Linked DNA regions of Pelodiscus sinensis. The main gene of each other region encodes a partner of the protein of the gene in region 2 in a complex. Links are inferred from orthologs where the notes say so. Each region holds a gene or a part of one and is shown on either strand. Other genes may lie near its edges.

Region 1 (10,054 bases), on a different chromosome or scaffold from region 2:
AAAGCGGAAGGTGGGCCCAGCACGGTGCCTGGGGGGGAAGGGAAAAGGCAGGGGTGGGCCCAGAGCGGTGCCCCGGGGGGAAAGGTGGGAGATAGGCCCAGAGCAGTGCCTGGGGGGAAAGGGGGAACACGGCCAGCGCAGTGCCTGGGGGGGGGGGGAAGGCCCAGCATGGTGCCCAGGGGGAAAGGTGGGGGGGCGGGGCCATCGCGGTGCCCGAGGGGGGCAGGGCCAGGGCAGTGCCGGGGGGGGGGGGCAAGGTGGGGGGCAGGGCCAGGGCAGTGCCCGGGGGGGGGGGAGGCAGGCCCATTGTGGTGCCCGCGGTAAGGGGGGGGTAGGCCCAGCACAGTGCTCGGGGGGGAAAGGCAGGGGGCAGGCCTGGCGTGGTGCCTGGGGGGAAAGCGAGGGGGGGCAGGCCCTGCGACATGTTAAAACGAGGCACTAGAGCTCGAATGGCAGGAGGCGAAGCAGGGTGTGTGGTTCAGAGCGCTGTGGACAGAAACAGGTCCAGGACCCTGTGCCGAAGTGGGGGGTTTAGTCAACTTGTTCTGTTGTGGGGCGTGTGCTTTGGCAGCAGCTCCCTCCCAAGAGCACTGGGCATGCCTCAGTTTCCCCGGGGCGGCCCTCAGGCCTGGATGGGATGGGAATTGGGGGTGTGACTTACTGAGCCTTGGGGTAGGGGAGCTGGGCGATGCCCTTTAGAACCTCGGCCCATCGGGGGCTCAGGCCTGGGGACGCCTTTCCCCCCGGAAGGAGCAAGGGGCCTGTCAGGAGCCTGGCGGCCAGCTGAGGGGGGCTCACGGGGAGAGCCAGGCCCAGTTTTCTCACGGGGTAAGCGCCATTCTACATTGTGTTCCAGGCAAAGCCATGGACCACGCGTCCTCTGAATGGTTCTGCTCATATGCGGAATGCATTTTGTTGTGAGCACCGAGGCATGTGGAGATGTGCACCATGCATAGAAACCCCTGCTCCCCGCCATGGGCACTGTGCCAATCAGCTTGTGGCACGAACTTCTTGTGGGCAGCCGTCCACACGCTCGGCTTACTGGGAACAGCGGTCACAGCTGATCGGGAAGTCGGGTGGCCGGGTTCTACCTTGCCAGGAGCCCCGGCTGGGCGGCCTTGCTGCGGGGAGCACAAGGGATGGACGGAGGCCAGACTCGGGGAGGGCGAAGCTGTGGAAGTTTCTTGCCCAGAGGTCAGTGGGCTCAGAGAGAGGAGGGACCACCCCTAGTCCTGCTTGGCCTCTGCCAACTGGTTTGGAGCATCGTCCCTCCACCCCTCAAGATCTGCAGACAGCTTTGGGAGGAGCATGGGGCCCCGGGGCGGGCCCCTTGGGCGTCTGTGGCGGTGGTGAGCTGCCACTCACGCACGCAGGGACTCATGAGGACACTGGTTTATTGCAAAGCAGCAGCTGCAAGAAAGCCTGGCCTTGGGGCAGAGCGCCCAGCACAGGGCGGCTGCGGGGGCCAGAGACCCTCAGCAGGGCCCTGCCACCGGCGCACCCATGGCCTGGCCCAAGCAGCCGGAAGGCCCCACTGTTAGGTGGGCTGGCCCAGCCCCAGCGCTGCTGGCTGCTCCGTCTAGGGCACAGACCGGCCCAGAAGTGCCTGGAGAGGCAGTGCTCCAGCCCCGAGGCAGGGCCCAGCTCTGATGCCCCCTGGGCTGTTCCTCACTCAGGCCACAGGCCAGGGAGCAGGGAATTAGCTGAGGGCTTGGGAGGTGCCTTCCGGAGCAACGGCAAGACTGGCAGCCACCTGCCGGCTAGGGGGCGTTTCAGTTCCAACGGCACTTGGGGCTGCCTGGCCGCTGGCGGCCTCGTAGTCCGAGATGCGACGCTGAACCAGGGAGGGCATGAGCTGCACGTAGGCCCCCATGAGGCGGTGGTTGGAGTGGACGAGCTTCCCAGCACAGCAGTCCAGACAGTTCTCCTGCTGGGACAAAGCAGATCACAGGGACCCAGCCCCACCAGGACCAGAGCCCATTCCTCCCCAAGGGCCCCTGCCACACAGCGGGCTGCCCATGGCCCGGATGAGCCAGCCTGCCAGCTGTGCGCCAGGAAGAGCTCCCCAACCCCGGTGCTGGGCCAGGGCTCACCTCTTCCCTGGTGAGTGCCCGGTAGTTCAGGTTGGAGACGCAGCGCAGGAAGCAGAGCTCCGTCATCCTGTTATAGACCAGCAGGAAATCCCGCAGCTGCAAGGAGAGCAAGGAGCTGGGTGCGACTGGCCTCCAGATCGCCCCCCCGTCCTCGCAGAGACCCCGCTTCCCCGTTGCGCAGCTGGACAGCCAGATGCCCTGCCCGACAGGGCCAAATGGCCCTGTGGACGGAGACTCGGCATAGAGTGGGCCCGTTCTCAGCAGGGCCCCGCAGAACCGGGCAGCCCCAGGTTACTGTACGCCTGTGCCGGATCCACCCCAGGGAACACACAGGCAGGGGGCACACCCCCTTGACCTGCCGGCACCCCACCGTACGCTCCCAGCGGCCCCCTCCATACACTCCCAGCGGCCCCCCGCACTGCCGGCACCCCCCTCCATACACTCCCAGCAGACCCCGCACTGCCGCCCCCCCTCCATACACTCCCAACGGCCCCCCCCTCCATACACTCCCAACGGCCCCCCCCTACACTCCCAGCGGACCCCCGCACTGCCGCCCCCCCTCCATACACTCCCAGCGCCCCCCCTCCATACACTCCCGGCGGCCCCCGCACTGCCGCCCCCCCCCATACACTCCCAACGGCCCCCCCTCCATACACTCCCAGCGGCCCCCCGCACTGCCGGCCCCCCCCTCCATACACTCCCAACGGCCCCCCCTCCATACACTCCCAACGGCCCCCCCGCACTCCCGGCGCCCCCCCTCCATACACTCCCAGCGGCCCCCCACACTGCCGGCACCCCCCCTCCATACACTCCCGGCGGCCCCCCGCACTGCCGCCCCCCTCCATACACTCCCGGCGGCCCCCCCCTCCATACACTCCCGGCGGCCCCCGCACTGCCGCCCCCCCTCCATACACTCCCAACGGCCCCCCTCCATACACTCCCAACGGCCTCCCCTCCCTACACTCCCGGCGGACCCCGCACTGCCGCCCCCCCTCCATACACTCCCAGCAGCCCCCGCACTGCCGCCCCCCCTCCATACACTCCCAGCGCCCCCCCCTCCATGCACTGCTGGCACCCCCCTCCATACACTCCCAGCGCCCCCCCCGCACTGCCGGCGCCCCCCCTCCATACACTCCCAGCGCCCCCCCCCGCACTGCCGGCGCCCCCCTCCATACACTCCCAGCGTCCCCCCCCTCCATGCACTGCTGGCACCCCCCTCCATACACTCCCAGCGCCCCCCCCGCACTGCCGGCGCCCCCCCTCCATACACTCCCAGCGCCCCCCCCGCACTGCCGGCGCCCCCCTCCATACACTGCCGGCGGCCCCCCCCTACACTCCCGGCGGCCCCCCGCACTGCCGGCACCCCCCTCCATACACTCCCAACGGCCCCCCGCGCTGCCGGCCCCCCTCCATACACTCCCAGCGCCCCCCCACACTGCTGGCCCCCCCCCGCACGCTCCCAGCCCCCTTTCCCGCACTGCCGCCCCCCCTCCCTACACTCCCGGCGGCCCCCCCCCTCCCTACACTCCCGGCGCCTCCCCCCCCTCCCTACACTCCCGGCGCCGCCCCCCCCCTCCCTACACTCCCGGCGGCCCCCCCCCTCCCTACACTCCCGGCGCCCCCCCCCCCTACACTCCCGGCGGCCCCCCCCCCCTCCCTACACTCCCGGCGGCCCCCCCCCCCTCCCTACACTCCCGGCGGCCCCCCCCCCTCCCTACACTCCCGGCGGCCCCCCCCCCTCCCTACACTCCCGGCGGCCGCCCCCCCCCCTACACTCCCGGCGCCTCCCCCCTCCCTACACTCCCGGCGGCCCCCCCCCCTCCCTACACTCCCGGCGGCCCCCCCCCCTCCCTACACTCCCGGCGCCTCCCCCCCCCACACTCCCGGCGCCCCCGCTGGCCCCGCCCCCACGCACGTTGCGAAGCTGCTGTTGCTCCCCCGCAGGCTCCATGCCCAGCCCACGTGACCAGTCCTCCGCCCGACTCTGCTTGACCTCGCTCGCACTTCCGCCCTGCGTCTGACGTCACCCTCTGCCACGCTCAGAGGACACTTTTCTGCGCATCCATTGCGTCACTTCCGGTCGCCCTCCCTCTTGTTTCCGGGTCACGTGGCACTTCATGGCGTGAGTTCCTCTTTGGCGATGGTGTCAGTTCCGCCTGTCTCTTGCGCCGCTGCCCGGCTCCTGACGTGGCTTCCGGTCTGTTCCGGCCGAGGCGGATCCACGGCCGGAGCCTCCGGCGCCGGAGCAGGTGGGGGAGGGGCCGCGCCGGGGGTCGTGGACTGGGGCAGGGGTCCATGGGGGAGGGGCGAGGGAGGGGGTCCATGGAGCTGGGGAGGGGGAGGAGCTGGGCAGGGGAGGGGGTCCATGGGAGAGGGGCGAGGGAGGGGGTCCATGGAGCTGGGGAGGGGGAGGAGCTGGGCAGGGGGCAGGGGAGGGGGTCCTTGGGAGAGGGGCGAGGGAGGGGGTCCATGGAGCTGGGGAGGGGGAGGAGGGGGGCAGGGGAGGGGGTCCATGGGAGAGGGGCGAGGGAGGGGGTCCATGGAGCTGGGCAGGGGAGGGGGTCCATGGGAGAGGGGCGAGGGAGGGGGTCCATGGAGCTGGGGAGGGGAGGGGGTCCATGGGAGAGGGGCGAGGGAGGGGGTCCATGGAGCTGGGCAGGGGAGGGGGTCCATGGGAGAGGGGCGAGGGAGGGGGTCCATGGAGCTGGGCAGGGGAGGGGGTCCATGGGAGAGGGGCGAGGGAGGTGGTCCATGGAGCTGGGCAGGGGAGGGGGTCCATGGGAGAGGGGCGAGGGAGGGGGTCCATGGAGCTGGGGAGGGGGAGGAGCTGGGCAGGGGGCAGGGGAGGGGGTCCTTGGGAGAGGGGCGAGGGAGGGGGTCCATGGAGCTGGGGAGGGGAGGGGGTCCACGGGAGAGGGGCGAGGGAGGGGGTCCGTGGAGCTGGGGCTGGGCAGCGGGCCTGGGGAGGGGGAGGGTCCCTCTCTTCTCTGCTGGGGGCTTTGCCGGGTGCCGCCCCGTGGGCACTTGTGGCTGGGGCTCCACAGGGCCCAGCTCAGGGGGCCCAGCAGGGTGGGACTGGGCCTGCCTGGCTTGGCGCGGGGTCCGTTTGGCCCTGGGTGGGCCTGTGGTAAGGAGCTGGGGGCTTTGGCACCTCGGACTCTGCTCGGTTCGGTGCCTGGGGAGCAGGCTCCAGTGGCTCTGCCTGCCTGGTGCTGCAGGGAGCCGGGGGCTGATTCCCAGGGCTCGCTGCCCCGCCAGCCCGGTGCTGGGGTGTCCTGCTCCCCCTGCCGTGGGGCAGGCGTCCCAGGCCTGGGAGCCAGGTAACGGGAGCTGGTGCGGGCCGCCTGCTGTAGAATGTGCACTGACCGGTTGGGCTGCCTGGGCCAGCTGCTCCGGCTCAGGTGTTTTCCCAGCCTAGTCTGCCCATAGCTCCCTGCTCTGCGCAGGAGGGCTCAGCGTGTCCACGGTGGGGCCCTGCCCAGCCGGGCGCTCGCTGGGCCCAGGGTTTGTCAGGCAGAGTGCCGTGCCCGGGCAGGGGCCTGCCAGTGCTGGGGGGTCCCTCTAGCATGGTTTTCTGTAGCAGGCGGGCAGGCTGGAGGGGCCCCTTACTCTAGAGGCAGAAGCCAGCTGCAGAATGGCTCCTGCCCATGAAGCAGGGTCCCTTCTGTGGCACGAGCTCTCCTAGCTTCTGCTGCAGGGCACGGGGCACGTGCCTGGTGGCAATGGGCCAGGAGCCGCTCAGCTGCCGGGCCCAGGTGTGTCCCGCACCCTCCCCCCTGCTGCCGAGCTCAGGAGATGGCGTGAGGCAGACTGCTGCTGCCCCAAGGGGAGCGATCCCTCCACCTGTGCTGCAGGGCAACAGATGCTTCTTGGGGCTGCCCGTTCCACACGGCCTGCTCTGCGGTGGCTGGCGTGGTCTGAGTGACTGCAAATGGCAGGGAGCAAAGGGGAGATTTCTTTTCCCAGCGCAGAATGGGCCTGTGGAACTCACTAGCACAGAGCTGAGTCGGATCCAGGAAGGTCCCAGCATCTGGGTGCGGCTTCACCTCAGGGAAGCGGTACCCAGGGGAGTTGCTTGAGGACGCGGGGCTGAGACCACCCTAGGCAACGTGGGTCTGGCTGAGCCATGGTCTCTGGAGGGTGGGCAGCCCGGTGCCCGGGCAGGACACAGCTCAGGGATCGGGGTGGGGTGCAGGGGAACTCAAAGTTTTCAGCTGTGCTCTTGGGTCATACGGCTGCCCTCTGGGCTGAGTCAGAGGCCTTGTCTCTGCCGCCGCGGGCTGTCCACCCAAGGTACACAACATTGCTACGTGACTAACGCAGCGTTCTTAGGTCTGCTTCCTGCTGGGGTCAGTGGGAGAAGGCCCGGCCGTCGATTTCCCACTGTGAAGATCCCCCAGTCAGCAGACCTGAGGTCGGCTTCAGCTATGTTCTTTGTGAACTAGGCGCGACCAACGGAGCCCCCTGATTCGGTCTCTGCCCGTCAATGCCGCAGGGAGTGAAGACACCCACAGCCGCACCACTGCGTCTCCTATGAGCCTGGTGTGTGTCCCTGAACCCCTGCTGCGACGCTGCCTCTAGCCAGCAAGGCCTGCGGGCCCCTTGGCTCCCAGGGCCTGCTTTGGCCAAGAGTGGAAGAGCAGGGTGGGTCTATGGGCTTTGGCCTGCGCTGCCCTGGGTGTGCTGGGGAGGCAGAGCAGGCTTGGGAGGCTCTGGCAGCGGCTGACTCCTGGTGCCACGTATACAGGGCCCATTGTTCTCGGCCAGGCTGGCAGGTGCAGGCAGCCAAGGGGGGCCAGGAGCAGGCTCCTGAGCAGAGGCCTCCGGGGAGGAGGGAGGGAACCTGGGGCATGTTTGTTGCTGTCGCTCTGCTGTGGAGGTGCCCCGCACTCGGGAGGCCTGGAGCTGACGGAGGAGGGAGGCTGGGAGCTGCTAGTGCTGGAACACCTGAGACCCATGTGCTGCAGGCCTTGCTGGCACCAAGAGCAACGTCGGGCTGGCCCTTGCTTGGATAGCGTGTGCCCAGGCTGCTTTGGGGGGCCGGGATCCAGGGGTATAAATCAGTGCCAGTCTCTGGGATGCATTGGGACTGAGCTCCTACCTCCAGTCAGGCAGCCCCTGTGCTGCTAAGGAGGGAGAAGAGTCAACTGGAACAGAGGGGAACTATCCCATAATTGGGACCCTTCTTCCAGAGGATGTGGGGTCTCCTCCCGCATCAAGGCTGCCTCTCTGGGGAGGGAACTCCCATCAGTAGGAAGAGGCAGGTGTTAGTAATGGGGGATTTGATCGTTAGAAACATTGAGAGCTGGGTTTGCGATGACTGTGAGAACCGGATGGTCACTTGCCTGCCTGGTGCCAAGGTTGTGGATCTCTCGAGGCATCTAGACAGACTTATGTGTAGTGCTGGGGAGCAGCCAGTGGTCGTGGTACATGTAGGTACCATTGACATAGGCAAGGGTGGGAGAGAGGTTCTGGAGGACAAATTTAGGCTGCTAGGAAAGAGACTGAAATCCAGAAGCTCTATGGGGGTGTTCTCAGAAACGCTTCCAGTTCCACGCGCAGGGCCAGGTAGGCAGGCGGAGCTTCAGAATCTCAATGCGGGGATGAGACGATGGTGTAGGGAGGAGGGGTTTAGATTTATTACGAACTAGGGAAACTTTTGGGAGAGGGGGAGCCTAGACAGGAAGGATGGGCTCCACCTAAACCAAAATGGAACCAAACTGCTGGCATTTAATGGGAAAAGCCGACAGGTGCAAAGGAGCACGTGGATCAGACAGACACATCTCTTAGGGCAGGGTCTATTAATAGAGATCATAGAATACTAGGACTGGAAGGGACCTCGAGAGTCATCGAGTCCAGTCCTCTGCCTTCATGGCAGGACCAAATACTGTCTAGACCATCCCTGATAGACATTTATCTAACCTGCTCTTAAATATCCCCAGAGATGGGGATTCCACAACCTCCCTGGTGTTTGACCACCCTGACAGGAACTTTTTCCTAATGTCCAACCTAAACCTCCCCTGCTGCAGTTTAAGCCCATTGCTTCTTGTTCTATCCCCAGAGGCCAAGATGAACAATTTTTCTCCCTCCTCCTTATGACACCCTTTTAGATACCTGAAAACTGCTATCATGTCCCCCCTCAGTCTTCTCTTTTCTAAACTAAACAAACCCAATTCCTGCAGCCTTCCCTCATAGGTCATGTTCTCTAGACCTTTCAACATTCTTGTTGCTCTTCTCTGGACCCTCTCCAATTTCTCCACATCTGTCTTGAAATGCGGTGCCCAGAACTGGACACAATACTCCAATTGAGGCCTGACCAGCGCAGAGTAGCGCGGAAGAATGACTTCTCATGTCATTAGATGCTGTAAGTTCTAGTCAGGATGAGAGGATGGAATTTTGGGTCAGATCAGAGGAGACACAATCAAATGAAGAGAGTTAACACATCAGGAAATGGCAGACAGACAAATAGTGACAAATTATGAAAGCGCTTATACACAAATGCTAGAAGTCTAAATAGTAAAATGGTTGAACTGGAGTGCCTAACTTTAAAGGAGGACATTGATGTAATAGGCAACACGGAAACTTGGTGGAATGAGGACAATCAATGGGACACAGTCATACCAGGGTACAAAATATATTGGAAGGACAGAACAGGTTGTGGAATGCTAAGGGAGATTAGAGAGGCTATCAAATTAAAAAGCTCAATAATCATGGGGGATTTCAACTATCCCCATATTAACTGGGTACACGTCATCTGAGGACGGGATGCAAAAATACCATTTCTTGATACGTTATATGGCTACTTCTTGGAGTAGCTGGTTCTGGAACCCACAAGGGGACGGGTTGTTCTTGATTTAGTCCTGAGTGGAGCGCAGGATCTGGTCCAAGAAGTAAATGTAACTGGACCGCTTGGAAATAGTGACCATAATGTAATAAAATGTCATATTCCTGTGGTGGGAAGAACACCTCAGCAGCCCAACACTGTGACATTTCGTTTCAAGAAGGGGAACTGCACACAAACGTGGAGGTTAGTTAAACAGAAATTAAAAAGTCCAGTGACAAAAGTAAAATCCCTGCAAGCTGCAAGGACATTGTTCAAAGACACCATAAGAGAGGCCCAACTCTGATGTAGCCCCCAAATTAAAAAGCACAGTAAGAGAACCAAAAAAAGTGCCACCGTGGGCTTCACAAGCAGGTCATAGAAGAACTGAGAAATAAAAAGGCATCGTTTAAAAAGTGGAAGTTAAATCCTGGTGAGGAAAATAGGAGCATAAACATTGTCAAATGAAGTGTAAAAATATACTAAGAGGAGCCATAAAGGAGTTTGAAGAACAGCGAGCAGGCTGGGAATGGGCGACGGGGGAGGGATCACTGGACAATTCCCTGCTCTGTTCACTCCCTCTGGGGCACCTGGCGCTGGCCACTGTGAGCCGACAGACACTGGGCTGGATGGGCCTTTGGTCCGACCCAGCATGGCCGCTCTGATCTTATTGGTGCAGATGGCTGCTCTCAAGGGTGGGTATCCAGGAGGGGGGATAAATCGGTGCCCATCCCTGTGGGTGCCGTTAGGGCTGAGCCCCGGGGTGCTTCTGGCTGCTTTCAGGGGCCAGTATCCAGGGGATGGGTGCTGTTGGGATGTCCAGCTGACACAGCCTTGGGAGCAGCCAGGGGAACGATCTCCAGAGAGTGAGGCCACACACAGGCTGCTGGCATCTTAGCACCCCTTTTTCCCAGGCCCTGAAGATGACAGACGGGCTCATGAGTAAAGCGGCCACCATGGAGATCCCCATCAACGGCCGTGGAGATACAGGCAGCCTGCCGGAGGACGATGGCCTGGAACAGGTACGCAGATGGGCACTGATGGCACTTAGGGGTACCTTGGGGGGGGGGGGCAGGTTAGATGATCACATTGGGGGGTAGCTCCAGACTGCAGGAGCCTGGAGGTAGGAGGTGCCAGGCGG
Region 2 (9,403 bases):
GAATGACCCTGTGAGGGTATGTCTGTGCCGTGGGGATGCCGTGGGGGTGTCTCCTCCCTGGAGTCTCCCCTTCCCCAATCCCACTGGCCTTACCTGGCTGGGGAGCCCCCGTCTCCACCCTGATGGCAGCATCTCCTGTGGGGCTGGGTGCAGGCTCACCCCACTCTTCCTCCTCACCTCCTGTCTCTGGGGACAGCGGCTCCTCTGAGGTGCTCCCACTGTGCCCCTGGGAGGGGACAAAGCCCTTGAACAGGACCAGTCCCCTGCCCCCCAAATCCCATGAGTCCCCGACCCCCTGGTGGCCCAGGGCAACGGGGAGGGCTCGGGGGCACCCGCAGCACCTTCCCAGCACGCTAGCCCCATGGGAGATGTGAGGGGCTTCCCTCCTCTCCTCCACCCCATTGCCCTGTTTGCCCTGTGGGGACACTCACCTCTCTGGCCAGAGCACCGCTGGCCCCCTCAGCTCCAGCCCCTTGCTCCTCAGACACCTGCCTCTCTGGCTTGGCCCCGGCAGCCCCCTCCTGGGGTTCAGGCTCAGCCCCTCCTACTGCTGCCTTCTCCTCTGCCCCAGCCCCTTGCCCCTCTGCTCCAGCCCCAATATCCCCAGCCTCACCACCCTGCTTAGCATCATTCCCAGAATCCTTTGCTCCCCCGGCCTCACTGCTCTGTTTAGCATCGCTCCCAGAATCCTTTGCTCCCCCGGCCTCACTGCTCTGCTTAGCATCGCTCCCAGAATCCTTTGCTCCCCCGGCCTCACTGCTCTGCTTAGCATCGCTCCCAGAATCCTTTGCTCCCCCGGCCTCACTGCTCTGCTTAGTATCGCTCCCAGAATCCTTTGCTCCCCCAGCCTCACTGCTCTGCTTAGCATCGCTCCCAGAATCCTTTGCTCCCCCGGCCTCACTGCTCTGCTTAGCATCGCTCCCAGAATCCTTTGCTCCCCCGGCCTCACTGCTCTGCTTAGCATCGCTCCCAGAATCCGTTGCTCCATTGGCCTCTATGCCCCCCTTTGTATTACTCCCAGAATCCCCTGCTGCCCCAGCCTCAGCACCCTGCTTAGCATCACTCCCAGAATCCCCTGCTGCCCCAGACTCAGGATCCTGCTTAGCATCACTCCCAGAATCCCCTGCTTCCCTGGCCTCACCCTGCTTAGCATCACTCCCAGAATCCCCTGCTTTCCCCTTTTCCCCCAGCCCATCCTTGCCCCCCGCTGCCTCCACCCCTTCAGCCTCCTTGGCCGTGGCCCCGGGCTCCTCTGCCATCAGTGCAGGGTTGGGGGTGGCTTCCTGCGCCTCCATCTCTGGAAGGAGACAAGAAGCATGTGGTCAAATGGAGGCAGCAGGGATCCAGACTGGGGCTGTGAATGGCCCTTGACAGACCTGTCCAGGGACTGGCCTCCCAGCCTCCCCGGGCTCTGTCCACCCCTGCCCCAAGCCCCACCCTTGGCATGGCTGGGGTAGGAGGCGGCGGGTTGCCCTCTGCTGACCATTCCTTGGCATAGTGGGGCCCTACCTAACTTCCAGGGCAGTTCTTTGCCGGGGATGGGGAACACTGATTAGGGCACCTTGGGGTGGGGTGGGAATGGGGGCAGACAGAGCCCCTGGTGTGGGGGAGCCGGAGGGAGTCCCTGCAATGGAGGGTTACACCCAGGGACCATGCGCAGGGGAATGGAGGGTGCCAGGCGCCCCGGGATCCTGCAGCGAGTTTGACTCACATCAGCGAGGTGAGGCTCTGCAGTAAATACCCCAGGACCTTCCTAGGCCCAGGGGAAGTGGCCAGGGAGGCCAGTGGGGTGGGCTGTGCTGACAACCTGCTCGGGCAGGATGGTGGCCAGGCTGGGTACTGGCCCTTTAAAGCAAGGGGGGGCACTTCCCCATCACTGAGTAAACAATCCCTAGGGCCTGGAACAGGCCTCTGACTCAGGCACCAAACGTGCAGGGGGGGGGGGGTGTCTTAGGAGGGGACAAGGGACCCCCCTCAGCAGCTAAATATACCCCTGACATTTACCTCTCTGCCAGACCCAGGCAACAAGGGATTTGCCAACTGCTGCCCCAAATACTCCCCCCATAGTAAACTGCCTGCAACCCCAAGCTTCCCCCAGTTCTGCTTGTGCCCCACCACCCTGCCCCACCATTCCTTGCTAGCCCAGCCCCAGGCTCACCCCAGCTTTGCCAGTGCCCCACAATTCCCACCTGTTGCTACCTACTAGCCCAGCCCTGAGCTCCGCCCGACTCTGCCAGTGCCCCACAATCCTGCCCTCCATCCCCTGCTAGCTCAGCCCCAGACTGTCCCCCAGCTTTGCCAGTGCCCCACAGCCCCGGTTATTCCAGGCCTGGGCTCCCACGACCTGCCTTTGATACAGATGGTCTCCCCCAGTGCCTGGGGAAGGGAAGAGGGATCGGGGGTGTTTCCAGGGCATCCTAAGCCAGGGCAGGGGGTGTCTCCAGCCCACCCAGCTCCCCTACTGGAGGGGTTTATTCAATGCCCCACCCCTCCGGCCCTCCCTGGAGTCAGGGTGCTGGGCAGGGCTGCACCCACCTGCCGGCTGCTCCGTGGGACAGGCTGGTTCTGGGCTCAGTCCCGTCTGTCCTGCGCTTTGTGTTACAGCTCTTTGGAGCAGCACGGCCTATTTTTACCAGGAGGGAACAGGTGCCACTTTCATTCATGCTCCTTCACCCTGCCAGCTCCTCTGCCCCCTCCCCTAATGGCAGGGGGGATCCACTCTCCCAGAGTGACCCCCCCCAGAGGAGCTTGACAGGTTATGGGGGGATCCCACTTGGCAGGGGACCTTCAGGTGGCAAATGGGAAAGTGGGCCACAGGGGACCCCACCCCAACTACAATAGGAACCCCTCCCCCATGCCAGGGTGCTGCCAGCTGTCCAGCTTGGCACCAGAGCTGGAGCTAACAGAGCCATGGGGTCACCCTGCTCCCAGGGGTCTCTTTCCCACTGGGGTGTGGGCCAGGGGGCTGTCGTCACCCCTCCCCCCAGTACTGTCATTACTTAGGCAGCTCTGCCACCCTGTGGCCAGGCCTAGGAATTACAGGTGCACCCCTAGGTGGGTGACCATAGCAGAGTCCTCAGTCCCTCCCAAACCCGTGAGATACAGGTACTTCACTGCTGGATTTGGGGGTTACTTCCCACTGCACAGGCGGGACTCAGTTTTCCAGCCAATCAGGAAGGAGACTCTCCCCCTTCCCCGTAACTGGGGAACATCCAGGCCACCCAGGGTAGCACAACTGGTCTCTATCCTCAAGGGCAGGCAGCTCTGGGGCCTGGCTCACCAGCCTGGCCAGATGCTGGGGCTGAGACACTGTTGTGCGAGATGGTCATAAATGGGGCAGAAGGAAAAGACAGGGCAGGTTCCACCCAATCCAGTGCCCAGGCAGCTCCCTCTGCAGCTGTTACCTGCCTTCCCCTGGCATCTATGGCTTAGCCATACCCGATGCCTCCCTCCTAAAGGCAAAGGCTGCATGCTCTCGAGCAGTGTTTCCCAAATGGTGTTCCACGGAACCCCGGGGTTCCCCGAAGTAAAAATAAGGGTTCCGCACGAAAATTCCATTCCAATAACATTTTCTTATTAAAAAAATAATATTGAAGCATTTATTAATTTTATTGACAACAATTTTCATTTGTGTTTGCCACAATAAGTGTCCCTGTGTAATGCCAGCTTAGCCAGAGAGTGGGGATGATGACGTCACTAGTCAGTGCTGATGTCCATCTATTAGACTGTTATTAGGGATTCTGCAAAATTCTTTTGAGTTTAAAAGGGTTCCATGGCTAAATTAAATTGGGAAATGCTGCTCTGGTGGGTAGAGCTGGGAACTGGGAGTCAGGAGAACTGGGTTCAGTCCTGATTCTGAACTTGGGCGAGTCTCTGCCCCTGTTTCCCCATGTGTAATACAGGGGCGGGGCACGACAAAGCAGGTGCACACACTGCCAAGGACGAGCTGCCTGGCTCTGTATTTAGTACAAGGCTCTGACCATCGCTGGCTCAGAGGCCAACAGCAGCTGTTAGGAGGACACAGAGTCCCATGCATTTGTTAATGGCAGGCAGGTGGTAAGGCTGGCAGCCAGGCTAGGGCATGTACTTATGAAATGTATGGGGCTTGATCGGACAGATCCTACCTCAGCTCCACTGGCGGTGGGGTCCACACTATAGTGTTGCTCTTTCTCTCTGGGGCCTATGGCGAGAGGTGTTGCCTGCCTGGGCTCAAAGGGAGAGAGGGGCTGATGGTGCCCGACACAATGGTACTGGCTGTGCCCAGGCTCCGGAGGCTCTGCTCCTGGCCTGATCCGCCTCCGTGGACAGGGGACTCTGGGAGCCTATGGCAAATAACGTCACAGCCCCACCCTCAGCCGGCCCCCTATGTACTCACCCCATGACCCCCTCCCCACAGCCTGTGTCACCCCACAGCCCGACAGGCCTCCACTGCAATCACCCTCGCCCCATAACCCCTCCCCGCAGCCTGTGTCACCACACAGCCCGACAGGCCCCACTGCAATCACCCCCACCCTATAACCCCTCCCCACAGCCTGTCACCCCACAGCCCGACAGCCCCCACTGCAATCACCCCCACCCTATAACCCCTCCCCACAGCCTGTGTCACCCCACAGCCCGACAGCCCCCACTGCAATCACCCCCACCCCATAACCCCTTCCCACAGCCTGTGTCACCCCACAGCCCGACAGGCCCCACCGCAATCACCCCCACCCCATAACCCCTCCCCACAGCCTGTGTCACCCCACAGCCCGACAGGCCCCACCGCAATCACCCCCACCCCATAACCCCTCCCCACAGCCTGTGTCACCCCACAGCCCGACAGGCCCCACTGCAATCACCCCCACCCCATAACCCCGCCCCACAGCCTGTGTCACCCCACAGCCCGCAGCCCCCACTGCAATCACCCCCACCCTATAACCCCTCCCCACAGCCTGTGTCACCCCACAGCCCGACAGCCCCCACTGCAATCACCCCCACCCTATAACCCCTCCCCACAGCCTGTCACCCCACAGCCCGACAGCCCCCACTGCAATCACCCCCACCCTATAACCCCTCCCCACAGCCTGTCACCCCACAGCCCGACAGCCCCCACTGCAATCACCCCCACCCCATAACCCCGCCCCACAGCCTGTGTCACCCCACAGCCCGCAGCCCCCACTGCAATCACCCCCACCCTATAACCCCTCCCCACAGCCTGTGTCACCCCACAGCCCGACAGCCCCCACCGCAATCACCCCCACCCTATAACCCCTCCCCACAGCCTGTCACCCCACAGCCCGACAGCCCCCACTGCAATCACCCCCACCCCATAACCCCGCCCCACAGCCTGTGTCACCCCACAGCCCGCAGCCCCCACTGCAATCACCCCCATTCAACCCCCCACTCTCCCAGCCGGTCCCATCCCTGCTGTCCCTGAAGCCCCGGGGGATCCCAACCTGCCCGCTTTTGGGGGCCTCTCTCCCTCCCCTGCGCCCCACCAAGGGGCTGAACCCCTGCAACGCCCACCCCCCACCGGACGGGGGCACTGCTCCTTCAGCTACGCTAGGCTCATTAGACCTCCCGGCTTGTCTAGCAACAACTAGCACTCTATGGTAACATGGCTGCGCCCATTCTCCCGCCTCACATCCGGTACGTTCTAGCCTCGGTCCTCCACCAGCTCTATGCTCTAATTGGGTTCCCCTCCTTCCCCTGGAGTCCCGGCACATCTCTATGGTTTGCAGCGGGCCCCTCTCGCCTCCTGCCCCTTCCCTCTCGCTCTCTGGCGGGTCACTCTGCGGAAGCGGAGTCCTCCACAAGCCGGAAGTGGGCGCCCCGCGTCTGACTCTATGGTACCACGGAGGAGAGAGGGGGGGGCCCATCGTACCGGAAGTACCTGTTCCCCGCATGTTTCCGGTTGGCGGCGGGGGGAACGTCACGTTACTGTGCAGCGTGGGGAGGGGAAAGGGGCTGCTGACCCCTGACCTCTGACCCCGGGGCTCAGCGACTCCTCCCCACGAGGAGCGCGCAGGGTGAGAGGGGCTCGGGGCTGCCCCTAGTCGGGGGGGGGGGGGTCAGGGACTTGCCCCCCCGCTGCATTGGCTGGGGCACATCGGCCCGGGGGGTTACAAGGGGGTATCATGGGGGGCGGGGTATCATGGGGGGCACATGGGGGGCGGGGCCCGCACGTGGGGGGTACATGGGGGGCAGGGTATCATGGGGGGCACATGGGGGGCGGGGCCCGCACGTGGGGGGTACATGGGGGGCAGGGTATCATGGGGGGCACATGGGGGGCGGCGCCTGCACGTGGGGGGTACATGGGGGGCGGGGTATCATGGGGGGCACATGGGGGGCGGCGCCTGCACGTGGGGGGTACATGGGGGGCGGGGTATCATGGGGGGCACATGGGGGGCGGCGCCTGCACGTGGGGGGTACATGGGGGCGGGGTATTGTGGGGGGCACACGGGGGCGGGGCCTGCACGTGGGGGGTTCATGGGGGGCGGGGTATTGTGGGGGCCACACGGGGGGGGCCCGCACGGGGGGGAGGCACATGGGGGGCGGGGCCTGCACGTGGAGGGTACATGGGGGGCGGGGTATCATGGGGGGCACTCGGGGGCGGGGCCCGCACGTGGGGGGGGGGGCACGCGTGGCAGGCCTGACAGACTCTGTGTTCCCAGGAGCAGGTCACTCGGGCGCGATGGATCCGCTCCGGGCCCAGCAGCTGGCGGCCGAGCTGGAGGTGGAGATGATGGCCGACATGTACAACAGGTAACGGCCCCTCATCACAGCGCCCTCCCCCCCCCCGGCATGCTGCGGGGGGTCACAGATTTGAAAGCCGGCAGGGGCCCTCTAAATTGGGGAGAGACCAAGAAAGAGGCACGAGAATGACTGAAGGGCTAGAAAACCTGCCTTCCAGTGATCGTCGAGGAGCTCAGTTCGCGTAGGGCAGTGGTTCCGAAACTTCGGCATCATACCCCCTTTTTGATTTTTGAAAAATCTCCCCCCCCCCCCCACACACAAAAAATAGCAGCAAAACTTGTTGAGAAATAAAATGATTGGGGGGAGGGATGCTGGGTCACCTCCCCACTCCTCCCCCCGGAATTTTTTCACGCCTCACCAACAGGGCATGCCCCCCAGTTTGGGAACCCATTAGGGTAACCAAGAGAAGTTTAAGTGCTGGCTGGGTCGGTTGGTAAGTACCTACATGGGAAATAGATGTTTAATAGTGGGGTTTCCTGCAAGATAGAGTCTAGCAGAGAAAGGTCTAATATGGTCCAGTAGCTGGAAGTTGGAGCTAGATACATTTAGACTGGAAATAAGGTGTGAGATTTTAATGGTGAGAGTAATTAGCCATTGGAGCAACTTCCTAGGATCGTGGTGTATTCCTCATCAGTGATGAGTTTTCAACCAAGATGGAATGTGGGTCACAATGAAGTGGAATTGGCACAGTGGTGGGTGTGCTGGAGCTGAGGACTGGAACATCAAAAGGCCACGGGTCGGGATTGAGAGGAATTGGCAGAGCTCTGAGCTGCAACAGCACGTTATTCAGGAGCACTGGCATAAATGTGGGCAGGATGTATGGAGGGAGCCCAGGATTGGGGTAGCAGGGAAGCCTGTGGGGAGGAGGCAGGACTAGGTTCACCCGGACACCTTTGGATTCTCATGCTCTCCCTCTCCTTGGTGGCCCAGAATGACCAATGCCTGTCACCGGAAGTGCGTCCCTCCCCACTACAAGGAGGCGGAGCTCTCCAAGGGGGAGTCTGTGTGCCTGGACCGCTGCGTCTCCAAGTACCTGGACATCCACGAGCGCATGGGCAAGAAACTGACAGAGCTCTCCATGCAAGATGAAGAGCTGATGAAAAGGATGCAGCAGGGGGCAGGACCGGCATAGGGACTTCCTCTTGAACATGGACAGCATGCATGATGGCCTGGCATCCTCCCTCACTGCAGCCTGGACTCACCCCTGTGCCTCCACCCCAAAATAAAACCTCTTTATGTGAGCTGGGTCTTTGCCTACAAGGACAGTTCAGAGACCTGGGGCTGTGATATACCAACTGGATGTTCTGCCCCACCCTTTTCTCTGGTGCCTTAGAATCATAGAATCATAGAATAATAGGACTGGAAGGGACCTCGAGAGGTCATCGAGTCCAGCCCCCCGCCCTCAAGGCAGGATCAAGCTCCGTCTACACCATCCCTGACAGATGTCTATCTAACCTGTTCTTAAATATCTCCAGAGAGGGAGATTCCACCACCTCCCTTGGCAATTTATTCCAATATTTGACCACCCTGACAGTTAGGAATTTTTTCCTAATGTCCAATCTAAACCTCCCCTGCTGCACTTTAAGCCCATTACTCCTTGTCCTGTCCTCAGAAACCAAGAGGAACAAATTTTCGCCTTCCTCCTTGTGACACCCTTTTAGATATTTGAAAACCGCTATCATGTCCCCCCTTAATCTTCTTTTTTCCTTTTTTCCTTGCTCCATCCCTGAGTGGATACGATCCCAGTTCTGCTCTGTCCAGCTGACCCCCCATTTACCAGGCTGCGTCTGTACTTTTACCGCTTCGTGGAAGGAATGGGTTAGTCAGGGTGGTTTCCTACAAGATAGAGTAATTGTATGGGAGGCCAGTTTGGCATCTGGCTGTTTTTTCCTCTGCCAGTACCCCAGCGTGGCTCTAGGGTGGGCAAACCTTGTAGGCATCTAAGTAGGCAAATTGTATGGCAGGCCATAAATGCTCGCTGGCCTGACCTCCTCCCAGTGGCAGATTGGCCACTGGCCCAAAGGGGTGTGCCCAGGGGCCCCTGCCAATTGGGGAGCTGCGGAAAAATGGGCGCCTCTCCGTTGCCAGCAGCTCTGACCTCCGACTCAGTGGTGGAGCTAGGAAGCAGACGGTGAAGGGGGCAAGCACCTGAGCACACTCCCTGGTGGGAGCTCCAGGGCTGGATGAAAAAGTCTGATGTGCTGGATGTGACCTGTGGGTCCTAGTTTGCTCATCCCTCCCCTAGGGGAGGTGCTCTGCTGTGGGGAAGTGTGTGTCTCTCTCTCCCTGGTGCTCTGTAACGCTCCACCCCTCTTTCGTTGTACTGATTAGTTCCTTTGGCACTTTCACTTGAGGCAGTGTGTGACGGGCAGGATCCTGATCCTGTTTGGATAACCTCCCCCACAGCCATCCTGGCACTTCCTGTCCCAAACTCCTAGTGGAAGGGTATTCCGCTTTGATCGCCTCCCACCCCAGCAGTGGCTGCAGATCCATGCCCGTGTGAAGAGCTTGCCTCCTTGGCCAACTCCTGGCAAGCACAGCTGACCGCTGTTGCTTTGTGTGTCCACCAGGGTGCCCTGCAGAGCTCGTGGATTTTAATAACCATGCTGGTCTAACAGCTCCTGGCTGTGGTACAGGTTTTACAACTCAGGATATTAATTGGGTCATT

Evidence for each region.
Region 1: the proteins of TIMM10 (region 2) and TIMM10B are in contact, whole or in part, in a cryo-EM structure (PDB 7CGP), measured with the Homo sapiens proteins. The link is inferred for Pelodiscus sinensis from reciprocal best matches to the Homo sapiens genes TIMM10 and TIMM10B. Residues at the interface, in NP_036588.1 of Homo sapiens: Ala6, Leu9, Leu13, Glu16, Met17, Asp20, Met21, Arg24, Ala28, Lys32, Cys50, Asp52, Arg53, Cys54, Ser56, Lys57, Tyr58, Asp60, Ile61, His62, Glu63, Arg64, Met65, Gly66, Lys68, Leu69, Leu72, Asp76; in NP_036324.1 of Homo sapiens: Gln7, Leu11, Leu14, Arg15, Phe17, Leu18, Leu19, Tyr21, Asn22, Arg23, Met24, Thr25, Glu26, Cys28, Phe29, Val33, Pro34, Ser35, Leu36, His37, His38, Arg39, Leu41, Glu46, Leu49, His50, Ala53, Gly54, Ile57, His61.

What each region holds. Positions count from the first base shown.
Region 1 is NW_027466033.1:417,732-427,785, forward strand, and holds TIMM10B (mitochondrial import inner membrane translocase subunit Tim10 B), read right to left. Parts: upstream 4,167-10,054; 5' UTR 4,045-4,166; coding exon 4,009-4,044; intron 2,190-4,008; coding exon 2,094-2,189; intron 1,928-2,093; coding exon 1,700-1,927; 3' UTR 1,378-1,699; downstream 1-1,377. UniProt on the Homo sapiens protein: Component of the TIM22 complex, a complex that mediates the import and insertion of multi-pass transmembrane proteins into the mitochondrial inner membrane.
Region 2 is NC_134714.1:128,460,872-128,470,274, reverse strand, and holds TIMM10 (mitochondrial import inner membrane translocase subunit Tim10), read left to right. Parts: upstream 1-5,851; 5' UTR 5,852-6,008; intron 6,009-6,653; 5' UTR 6,654-6,673; coding exon 6,674-6,744; intron 6,745-7,665; coding exon 7,666-7,867; 3' UTR 7,868-7,976; downstream 7,977-9,403. Other genes in the region: SMTNL1 (smoothelin-like protein 1), read right to left, coding at 94-226, 432-1,295.